3 linked regions of the Rattus norvegicus genome follow. The protein of the gene in region 3 interacts with the protein of the main gene of each other region in a pairwise test. Links are inferred from orthologs where the notes say so. Each region holds a gene or a part of one and is shown on either strand. Other genes may lie near its edges.

Evidence for each region.
Region 1: the proteins of Agr2 (region 3) and Fabp2 interact in binary tests that used the Homo sapiens proteins (3 or more experiments, as listed by UniProt). The two-hybrid records come from large-scale screens. The link is inferred for Rattus norvegicus from reciprocal best matches to the Homo sapiens genes AGR2 and FABP2.
Region 2: the proteins of Agr2 (region 3) and Pom121 interact in binary tests that used the Homo sapiens proteins (3 or more experiments, as listed by UniProt). The two-hybrid records come from large-scale screens. The link is inferred for Rattus norvegicus from reciprocal best matches to the Homo sapiens genes AGR2 and POM121.

What each region holds. Positions count from the first base shown.
Region 1 is NC_086020.1:213,723,285-213,727,036, reverse strand, and holds the start of Fabp2 (fatty acid-binding protein, intestinal), read right to left. Parts: upstream 2,409-3,752; 5' UTR 2,397-2,408; coding exon 2,330-2,396; intron 1,073-2,329; coding exon 900-1,072; intron 1-899. UniProt on the Homo sapiens protein: FABPs are thought to play a role in the intracellular transport of long-chain fatty acids and their acyl-CoA esters. FABP2 is probably involved in triglyceride-rich lipoprotein synthesis.
Region 2 is NC_086030.1:26,919,880-26,923,531, reverse strand, and holds part of Pom121 (nuclear envelope pore membrane protein POM 121), read right to left. Parts: intron 3,100-3,652; coding exon 2,928-3,099; intron 1,718-2,927; coding exon 1,626-1,717; intron 957-1,625; coding exon 883-956; intron 607-882; coding exon 482-606; intron 378-481; coding exon 275-377; intron 1-274. UniProt on the Homo sapiens protein: Essential component of the nuclear pore complex (NPC). The repeat-containing domain may be involved in anchoring components of the pore complex to the pore membrane. When overexpressed in cells induces the formation of cytoplasmic annulate lamellae (AL).
Region 3 is NC_086024.1:58,434,415-58,438,166, reverse strand, and holds the start of Agr2 (anterior gradient protein 2 homolog precursor), read right to left. Parts: upstream 2,260-3,752; 5' UTR 2,040-2,259; intron 1-2,039. UniProt on the Homo sapiens protein: Required for MUC2 post-transcriptional synthesis and secretion. May play a role in the production of mucus by intestinal cells. Proto-oncogene that may play a role in cell migration, cell differentiation and cell growth. Promotes cell adhesion.

The sequences.
Region 1 (3,752 bases), on a different chromosome or scaffold from region 3:
ACAAACACACATACACATACACACACACACCACACACACACAAACACACATACACATATACACACACAAACACACATACACACCACACACATACACACCACACACACAAACACACACACGTACACACCACACACACATAAACACACATACACACCACACACACCACCACACACACACACACACACACACACACCCCAAGGCTAAAAAACATTTTGAAAAATTAGTTGAAAAGCTTATCTCCTAAATTTTTTTTATCTTTTCCGTTGAAAGAGCCATACTTAATGACCTATGATACATTAGCCTTTCACATGTGGCTACTCGTTTATTCATCATTAATTGTTTAATAGTCGTTTTATCAGCTGAGATCTCATGTAGCCCAAGCTAGCCTCACACTTAGTCTGCATCTGAGGACAAGCTTGACTTTATGAACTCCAGTTCCCAAGTCCTGGGATCTCAGGCCTTGCGACCATGGCCAGTTTTATACACTGCTGGGGTTTGTGCTTGCCGTAGTCTCCTGATTCACCTACACTCCCCACCTTTATTGTTCAAGTGCATTTACAAAGCGGTTATTAAGTTTGAATATCATGAACGCTAAAAGCTTGTGGGCCACCTGCATGTAGAGTTGAAAATATAGAACTTCACATTTCCTTGAGACTGTCCCTACACTCAGTCAATCTGAGAGGGTTGATCTGAGTCTTATTATTCAGTATAGCTTTTTCACAGACACATACATAGTGAAGTACTATATTAAACATTTTGTCAATGTGCATAATATAAGATATTTGCGGCCTTTTCAGTAAATGAAGAAGGTTTGCATTAGCTGCTCTTTCCATGAGATAAACCATTTTGTATTGGTAAAAAAAAAAAATCAAAATGTTCTGCCTATGAAAATGTCTTACAGTGAGTTCTGTTCCATCTGCTAGACTATAGGCAAAGTCGACGCCGAGTTCAAACACAACATCAATGTTTCGGAAGTTGCTTGATTCTTTGACTGTGAATTTATTTCCTTCCTGTGTGATCGTCAGTTTCAGGTTGTCATGAGCTCCAAGCTTCCTCTTCACCACATTAATGCCTGCAAAGGAGAGAGATGGAGGGAGCGTGAGATTAGAATGTCACCCAAAGGGTTTCTCTTCCCAAGTTCTGTTTCCATTTGCTCATCTTTATTTTGTGGGTGTGGAAGAAAAAGCAAATAGTGTCATGTATGCAAACAGCACCAACAGGCTTCTAGAGAAAAAGGGAGAAGCACTGGCAGATCCAGGGAAGGTTCAAGCTGCTTTTCCAAAGTAAGAAAATGTAAATGAAGCCACAAACGGTAGCACCTCAGCCCTGGATAGCATGAACGAGATTAGCCGACCTTTCGCTTCCATGATCAGGCAAATTTCAGCAACGTCAAGTGAAGTATTAAGAGGCATATTGATATATTAAAGAGACACACGCTCAGGTTTGAGTATTTATTTCCAACACTACTTTGCTTTCAAAATTGCTTGTATTTATTTTGTTGTTGTTTGGAACCAGGTCTTAGTGTGTAACTCAGGCAGGCCCCAAACTTACTGCATAGCACAGGCTAGCCTATAACTCACAGTCCTCTCTTTTCACTCTTCAGGACTGTTGAGATCCCTGGCGTACACCATGGTTTGTTTGCCTCGTAATTCTATTGACTCTTTGTAGCATTCCTCATTGGCCTAATCCAGAAAAATTATAATGACATTTTATGATTAATTCATTATAATACGAAATTTTATAAACTTCAATTCACAATCCCTCAAGTGAAAGAGATAATTTATTCAGGCTTTATTTTGAGAAATGAAGCATGTTTGCCCAGTTTGTAGTGTAGGCTACCAGGATATTAGCAAATATGTATAATATTGTTAAATTACACCTCTGTGAAGAATATACCGCTTTTTATACTTATTCCTGAAGTTAGATAAGTCAGAGAAAAGAATTCCATATGATTTATTCAAGCTGAGTTTTGACAAAATTCTTTTCTTTATTAAAAGATCCTTGCTTTTTAAATCCCCTATAGGCTAGTGGTTTTTTTTTTAAGCTCTTGAAATTATCATAACTCACCATACTATTCTTTTTTAAATGAACACAAACATGTCAGTTTTTACACAATTATCAGGCAAGGGAAGAAACCACAGGTGGCTCTTCCTTGGTGTGTTTCAGAGAGCAGGGCTTGCCCTAGCGAAACAAGATATTCTTCCTAAAGCAGGAAGTGCAAATATGGGTTTCCTGGCTCTGAACAATCACGCCTAGAACCTTACCACATCCCAAGTCATTCAGTAACTACAGACAGGAGAAAGCAAATAGACAGGAAGCCAGCCCTTACCCATTTTCTCCATGAACTTTTCATAGTTCTCATTCCGGTCTACTTTCCAAGTGCCATCAAATGCCATGATGTCAGCTGTGTGTGCCTCTAGGAAAGCAGAGATTCGGTCCTGTCCACTAGAGAGAATTTATTCTATTTCTTATCTTCGAACCAATTCATACCATGATGTGGAAGTTCAAAGTTCAAGAGATAACCTGGCAGTTTTGCATGCCAGGCCCCTTTAGTTTCTCTTCTAGTGCTTTCTTTGAATCTATTGCTGAGATTCAACTGCATTCAAATTTGGTAACCATACCTACTCTGTCTCCGACTACAGCATGTAGGCATTTTTATTCCAAGAATTAGGGTCAAGTGTGATGGCTTCCACCTTTAATCCGAGCTCTCCAGAAGCAGAGGCAGACAATTCTAGCCTGCTGTAATAAGGAGTTCCACTCCAGCCAAAAGACAAACAACAAGAATGAATCAGGCGATAAACCAAACCAAACAGACAAACAACAACAAGAAGAAAAAACCCTCAAGATACTTTTCTATTTACAGGTTCAAAGTGCACACTCTACAGCAGGTGTAACTATGTAATTATGTAACTATGTATCATTTGTAAGAAACGTCAAACAACTGGGATGTGAGACTTATACCACGAATCTTTAACAGGAGTTGAACAAACTATACAAAAGTGCAATTGCAAAGTTAAAGTTTAAGTGATTATTGGAACTAAAAAATGTATTTTAATTTTTCTGTGTTCCTAAGGTTATTTTATTGATATCAAATCAATCTAAAATTTAGTATATAAACTATTTGCCCAAACATCTCTATTATCATATTCTGAAACAGTGTCATTATCCCCAAAAGAAACTGCATACATTTTAAGCAGTGGGTTTTCATTTTCTATTTTTTTTTTAAAGAATTTTTTACTTTATGTATGTGAGTACACCACCGCTGTCTTTGGACACACCAGAAGAGGGCATCAGATCCCATTACAGATGGTTGTGAGCCACCATGTGGTTGCTGGGAATTGAACTCAGGTCCTCTGGAAGAGCAGTCAGTGCTTTTAACTGCTGAGCCATCTCTCCAGCTCTCATTTTCTATTTTTAGACCATTAGGTTCCCATCCACTTTCTACCTCTATGGACATTTCATACAAATATAATTATATATCAGGTAGTCTTTTTATGTTTGAATCTTTTCACCGAATGTGTTTTCAGTATTTACATATCAGCTACCTCTTTATTTTTTTAAATGTTTTGTTCTTGACTAATGTGAGTAAATTATGCAAATTAAGGAATTCAGCATGACATTTCAATACAGGCATAATCAAATCCAGTTTCCCTCCCTCCCTCCCCCCACGCCGACCTCCAGCAACATACTCCAGTCAATGTTCGTATTTGAAGCTATGTTTTCTAATATGCCCTTTTGCATTGTACTTTGGA
Region 2 (3,652 bases), on a different chromosome or scaffold from region 3:
ATTCAAAACTCCCATTTCCCATGGGAAAGTATTGGTGACAGCTCCTGGTAATAAGGCCCCTGGTAGAACAAGTGGGGACAAAGACCCAAGAGCTGGTTGTGATGGCACACATCTGAAACCCTGCACTTTGGAGGCTGAAGCAGCAGTATTATGACTCTGAAGGCAGTCTTGGAAGATGAGACTCAGAACTAAATGGAAAAATCAAGTATTCTACAACTTCTCTCCCCAGGAAAGCTGAAACACACACAGAGCATGCTGAGCTCCACAGTCTTACCCGTCTTATCCTCCAAGACCTTGTTAAACCACTGCAGTGAGGCTCTCCTCTCCATGTCCAGGTCTTCAGCAGTGATGGAATAGCCAAGCTCAGGGGGTGGAGGCTGCCCAAGCAAACAGAGACAGGTTAGACCAACCCCAGAAGCTGTGGAAACCTGCCCCAGACTCCCTAAGACTAAAAGAGCTGAGAGGGATCGATAAGACATACCAAGGTGAGCTGGTCCCCTCGCCGGGAGGGCAGCAGCTGAATCTTGCGTTTGCGTTGCCCGGAGCTGCCAGGTGTGGGTGGGGAAGTCCACAGGCTCTGCTGCTTCCCCGTGGCTGGATCTGTAACTACAGAAACAAGGGTTGCTGGCCTCCCTAGTAAGGTCAAGACAGTTTGGAAGAGATTGTTTTCTGTGTTAGTGTTGTTTCTGACTGCTTCCGGAACAGCTGTGACCCCACTCCTCAGAGCCCAACCCTGAGCTCATGGCCTGGCAGTCCTCATATTCTGCAGTGGACACTCTTCCTATGCTGGACCTCCAAAGGGCTACAACTATCTTCCAAGCCTCACAGTGGCTAACTTCCACTGGAGATGCCACTCTCGGCTCCCATGGCTTCTCTACTTACCCTTTTCTCCTGGGGACTCCTTGTCTGTCACCAAGGGAGCTGAAGAACTGGACTGGTGACATGGTTCCTCCTCTCTGTGGAGATTGTGAAAAGCTAGGGTTTACTTGGGAAGGCCTGGAGGCTGCATGGCACCCCCCACACACACTTGCACATTCCTACACAGGCAAAGTCTAGAAAAACCACAGCTCTAGGTGTCAGCATATCACTATGAGTTGACAGAGGCCATGAACAACCAGCCTTTAATCAAATACAGAACAGGGATCTGCAAAGCTTTACTCAAAGCCTGCCAAGTCCAGGGTCCCAGACTACATCTTCAGGCTCTAACGGTAGGTTAGTGCCAGGAACAAGGAGGAACTGGTGAGGAAGCAGGCCCAAGACAGACAGACAGACATACAAAATAAAAAAAGGCTGGGTGGCAGGTAGGGAGGTGGGGCCAGACACAGACAGACCTGATCCTTGAGGGAGCTGAGCTCCAGGGAAGGGTGAACTGGGGCGAGAGACTCAGGCTCCCTGTTGACCGGGTCCACTCTGCACCACTCCCAGTGGAGTATGAGACAGAGAAGGAACTCCAGCCATCAGCTGCTCTCACTGTAGGACAGGGACATAACTCTAGCAGGCTCTTTGCTACTTTTCTGGGGTTTGACTCTTTGATTTGCTGAGTCAGAAAAAGCAGCCCACCAGCTAATCCCTGTTAAGCCCATTGCCCCGTCCATACAAAGTGACCAGGAGGGAATGATGATCACCTTGTCTTCTTGGCTGGCCTCTCTGGTGTCTGGGAGCGGGAGGAAGCTGGGCTGGAGAAGGGAGAAGAGGTGGGACCACTCCTCTTCCACAGCTGCAAGTCAAGCAGAGACACATCTGAGACCATTACTGGCAGATGTTCTGAACTGGCCAGACGGTGAGGCACACACCTTTAATCCCAGCACTAGGGAGGCAAAGGAGGGTGGATTTTTTGAGTTCAAGGCCAGACAGGTCTACATATTTAGTTCTAGAACAGCCAGGGCTATTTTACTGAGAGACTGTGTCTGAAAAAACTAAAAAGAAAAACAAACAACTACAGCAAAACTAAAAATAACCTTTTTGAGAGTGTGGAGAGCTGGCTCAGTGGTTAAGAAACACTTGCTGCTTTTGAGGACGACCCAGGTTGGTTCCCAGCCTCCACACCAGACTGCTCACAAGTACTATAATCCTATTCTAGGAGATTGGTGGCCTCTGGGCACCTGCATGCATATGTTGCCCCTAAACTCTCAGAGGCCCAAATAATTTTTCTTTTCTTTTATTTTTTTTAAGACCATGTCTTACTGCATAGCCCTGATTGCAATTTACTACGTAGACCATGTATTCCACCACACACTGCAAAATAATAAGTTAAAAAAAAGAAATTAAAAAAAAAAATAAAAAGGTAATACTTGTATTCATTATTTCAACAAAAATCACCTACAATAACAAGTACACCCTGCACTTTTACAGATTCTGACACCCCATGAATATGAATATGAATATAAAATACCAGCTGGGTATGGAGGTGCAAGCTGGAGACCTAATCCTCAGGAGGCAGAAAGAGGAGGCTCATTGCTCGTTCAAGCCCAACCTGAGGTACAGCAAGCTTCAGGACAGCCAGGGGACACATGAGACCGTGTCTCAAAAACAAAAGGAAAAACACAAAGGGCGACTGATCTACCTGCAGGAGCCTGTGCAGCTCCTAGTGTCAATACCAATACTCAACCCCAAGCACGCCTGCCAGTGGGGCTGCCTGGCTTCCCCACCTATGGACGCTAACTAACTCTAAACAAGAATGACAACTTCTTCATGCATCAAAACTCACACTAAATTCTAGTTGCCTATAAATCTCCTTTATATTCCACACTGAACAAACTCTTTCAGTCCCATTTACCGCACTGCTTTTCAGTCTCTATCTGCAGGCTCTCTGTACCAGGTTTGCTTGCTGTTTATCCCACTGATCTCGTTTATTTGCTACTTCAGGCTAGAGCCAGGTTCAGTGCAAAGCAGGAGGGAGGTCTGCTCCTTTGCTCATGGAGACCCACCTGTGAGACACCTCGGGTGGAGCTGTAGGAGCTGGTGATGGCGTTGCGGCTGGAGCTGGGGATGCCTCCTGTGCATGTGCTAGTCAGGGAGCTCACAGAGGAGGTGCGAGACCGTTTGTTCAAGTGGTCATCCGAGCTCTGGGAAGCCAGACTTCTCTTCAGGGAGCCAGGCCTAACAGAAAGGAAGAGGAGGACATAGGCTACTGCAGGCAGGTGTGTGACCGAGGGCACTATCAACAGATGATATGGCCGCCTGTATCTGACAAAGTGACTGGGTAAGCCACAGCATGGGAAACACAAACAGGAAGAGCTACACCTTGATTGTGGCATCAAGGGGACATCAGTTTAACATCTGTCAATGATCCCTCAATAAAGCTGCTAAAAAAAACCTCAAGAGTTGAGCACCAACTACTCTGTCCTGAGACTCCAACCAAAAAGAGAAATCTCCCATAGTCCTTTCTGTGTTGCTTAGCCCTGTTACGGTATGGTCCCCTTACCATTTCCCAGGGCAACCCGCATCAACCATAAACCAGTTCACGGACAACTGTGGCAGTGTGCTTCTTCTCTCTCACCTGGGCATCCTGCTGCAGCAGAGCCAGCAATGTCCCCTCCTTCCACCAGCACTCCACCGCTTTAGCTAGCTCCCAGACACCTGTGTTGCTTTGAGACAGTGCTCTGGACTGGGGCCTTCAAAGCCTCCTCACCGACCTTTTGCCTGTTTAAGG
Region 3 (3,752 bases):
AGCACTAACTTTTTTTGTCATTTTTAAATCAGCAAACTATAGGTAGGAAATTTTATTTTAAAATCCCAACCAAATATATAGATTTTTTCTCCTTCCTTATTACACAATTTCAATACTTTTTCTATTTCTTACTTCCTTTAAGATCCTATCTGACCTCTCATGCTCTCCTAATTTCATGACCAGCAAACATACATACGTAAGAACACACACCCGTGCACACATATGTGTGCATGCATTATATGCATTTACACACAGTTTAAAATTTAGGCTCTTTCTGTAACAGGAAACATATAGTATTTTTTAAGTGAGTCTGCTTTATTTCACTTAACATAATGACCGCAAGTTGTACCCCTTTCCCTGTAAGTCATGATTTCAGTTTTCTTTATGGCTGTGTAGAATTCCACTGTATCTAGGTACCACACTTGCTTTATTTCCTGAGAAACTGTTCAAAAGGCAGTTCCTCAACCTGTGACATTTGCAGCTCAGATTTCTTTAGGAAACCGGGTCGAATGACTTCTAGATAGCAAGGAGAGGAAAAAACCCAGATAAATTGTGAAAGTGGCTGAAAATTTCTGAAAGCTAGTGTATAGTGTCTCAAATTGTTGTCAAAATCTGTAGCTATTTCCAGACTTGTGACAGTAAAGCAAGAGAGTTATGACTTCTGGGCCAGCTTGGGTTACACAGTAAGACTCAGTTTACTAATGAACAGATAAACACAACGCAACACAAAGACAACACAACACAAGACAACAAACTATGAGAGAACTGACGCTATGATTTCTGAGTTTTTAACACAGGGCTTCTATTTTTCCCTAGTACTAGAAACTGAAACTAGGACCTCATGCATGCTAGGCAAATGCCTTACAACTGATATCTATATGTGTACCTGATACACACACACACACACAAACACACACACACACACACACACACACACATACACCTACGTACACACAAAGCCGTGTAGAGATTATTTTTTAGAAATAATAGTTTAACTGGTAATTCATATCTTATATTCTTTTCTTCTTGAAGCTTGCTTTCATGGTAAAGGTCTTTCAGTACTGTGTTTTTGTTTGTTTGTTTTTGTGTTTTTTGTTTGAGACAGGGTTTCCCTCTGCAGCTCTGGCTGTCCTGGAACTTGCTCTGTAGGCCACTTTGGCCTCAAACTCAGAGATCCAGCTGCCTCTGCTTTCCAAGTGCTGGGATTAAACACATGCACCACCACTGCCCAGCTTTCTCCATGTTTTATATTAGTTTCTTCATGCCCATTAAAGTCATGGAGAAAATTAGCTATTACTGTACCCTGGAGAGTGGTTGAGAAGAGTAAATGGTGTCCCTGACATTTCTAAAGCAAGGTATGAATTTCAAAAGATAATTTTCATCAAAAAAACTACTGGTGGACGTAAAAGTGAAATATGTATTTTGAGTTACGTTGTATAGCTGTTCTAACCCGTTTGAATAGTATATGCTACTGCATTTTGGCAAGACCACTGTCCTTTGTTGACTGACCACATGTTCTGAGCTAGAACAAACCAGTAGTCATGTCTAAAGTCAGTTAATATTTACTCAGGAATGCGTAACCCAAGAAAGAGTAAACTTAAAGAAGAATCCTCAATGCATGTCATATAAGAACAATAGTATATCCTGTCACATCTTGGTACTTGGAAACTCTGTCAGTTTCAGGGGTACAAAAGACCAAGGAAAGGACACAATTTTTGAGAATGACACCTTTCACCAGGAGCACATATCATTCTGAGGCTCTGATTTTGTAGCTGTTTGCTTTTTGCAAGGCACCGTGGAGGAACATTTCAGGTTAGGCAATGATGCCGCAAAGATTTATTAAGTTCAGAAACAGGAAGTCAGCACTAAGAAAGTGGTGTCCACAGGGCCAATGTCTGTTAAGTATTTGCCAACGTTCTGCGTGCTGGCGGAGTGTGAGAAGTTATATAATTCATTTCCAACTGTGGTTCAGCAGCAGGGACACGGACACCAAAGTACAAGTGAGTAGTTCCAGGATCACGCATAAACTCAGTGCTTACCGCAAAAGGAAGAGAAGTAAGATGCTGCTTCCAACAGCTGCTGTCTTTCCAGTCTCAGCACCTCAGCTAGACCTTATTCAGAGTTGTGTTTGGTGAGGATGCCCGTACATTCAGTAGGAAGAGTGCCTTGTTACAAAGGAATGTGGAAGGACCCTTCCAGGCTAGTCATCTGTGATGCCACTGGCCCTGGAACTCTGGAGAGAACTCTTGTACCTTAAAGATTGTTAGAACTGGGGCAAGGTGCTGTCCTTCGAACATTCCAGGAAGCTTTCCTTTTCATAAAATGCAAAATGAGTCCTCCTAGCGACTCAGAGCCATTTTTTTCTCTTCCCCTAACACCTGGACACATTTACTCAACAGATTTAAGGTTTCCGTTTTCATTTCTAGAGTCTCTTTCAACCCACCTGCCTATTTTTACAACCATCTCTTACAGTCTTTCTTTCCTGATAAGCATTTCCTTCATAAATTTAAACATAAATTAGCAGGGCTTAAGAAGCCCATTGCATTGTTGTGGGAGACATATTTCAGGAAGCATCCTATACCTTCTGTTTGTGAGCTCACCGAGAGGATTATTTTTCTGTTGGAGTCTAGTATGTTGGGTTGTAGGCACGCTTCCAGAGAGCCTTTGGTGTGGTGTGGTGTGGTGTGTGTGTGTGTGTGTGTGTGTGTGTGTGTGTGTGTGTGTGTATGTGTGTGTTTGTGTTTATTTTTTTATTTCTGTGTGGTATTGAACCCAGTGCCTCATGTACTCTAGGCAAGCAAGACTTCTTCCACTGAACCACATTACAGCTGTCTGCAGAGCCTTTGAGCTAGCCCCAGGCAGGTCTCTCTGGCCATGAGCACTTACATGCCAGTTTCTTTAGCTGGTTCCACATTAAGAAGAGAATACAAGTATCATTTCTATACTTGTGCAAAGGACAGACTGAGACTCTTACTGTCTTATCACAAGAGTGTATCTTACTATATTCTTATTGCACTTACTAGATTTCTACAAAGGGCATTTTCCTCAGTTTCCAGGTGATATTTTCTAGGGTTTTTCCCCTTATACATAGTTTCGGTAGACAGGAAGTTAATTTTTATGCCTTTATTTTCATCAAAATCACACAAAAACAAAAGCTTGCTTTGAACAGGGTGAGAAGTTGTATGTGTGTGTGTGTGTCTGTCTGCAGTGTTACAGTTTCTATTCAGGCCAATGTCTTTCCTTCTCTCTCTCTCTCTCTCTCTCTCTCTCTCTCTCTCTCTCTCTCTCTCTCTCGTGGTGTGTGAGTGTGTGTGTGTGTGTGTGTGTGTGTGTGTGTGTGTGTGTGCAGTGTTACAGTTTCTATTCAGGCCAATGTCTTTCCTTCTCCTTCCCTTTCTCTCTCTCTCTCTCTCTCTCTCTCTCTCTCTCTCTCTCGTGGTGTGTGAGTGTGTGTGTGTGTGTGTGTGTGTGTGTGTGTGTGTGTGTGCAGTGTTACAGTTTCTATTCAGGCCAATGTCTTTCCTTCTCCTTCCCTTTCTCTCTCTCTCTCTCTCTCTCTCTCTCTCTCTCTCTCTCTCTCTCTCGGTGTGTGTGTGTGTGTGTGTGTGTGTGTGCGCGCGCGCGCACGTGCGTGTGCTGTGTTGGGGTTTGTATTCAGGCCACTGTCTCACTGTCTCTCCTGCTAGGCAAGTGCTTCATTCTGATGAATCCTCCATTGACATCTTGAATAGTCTCCGGAACTGTAGATCAAT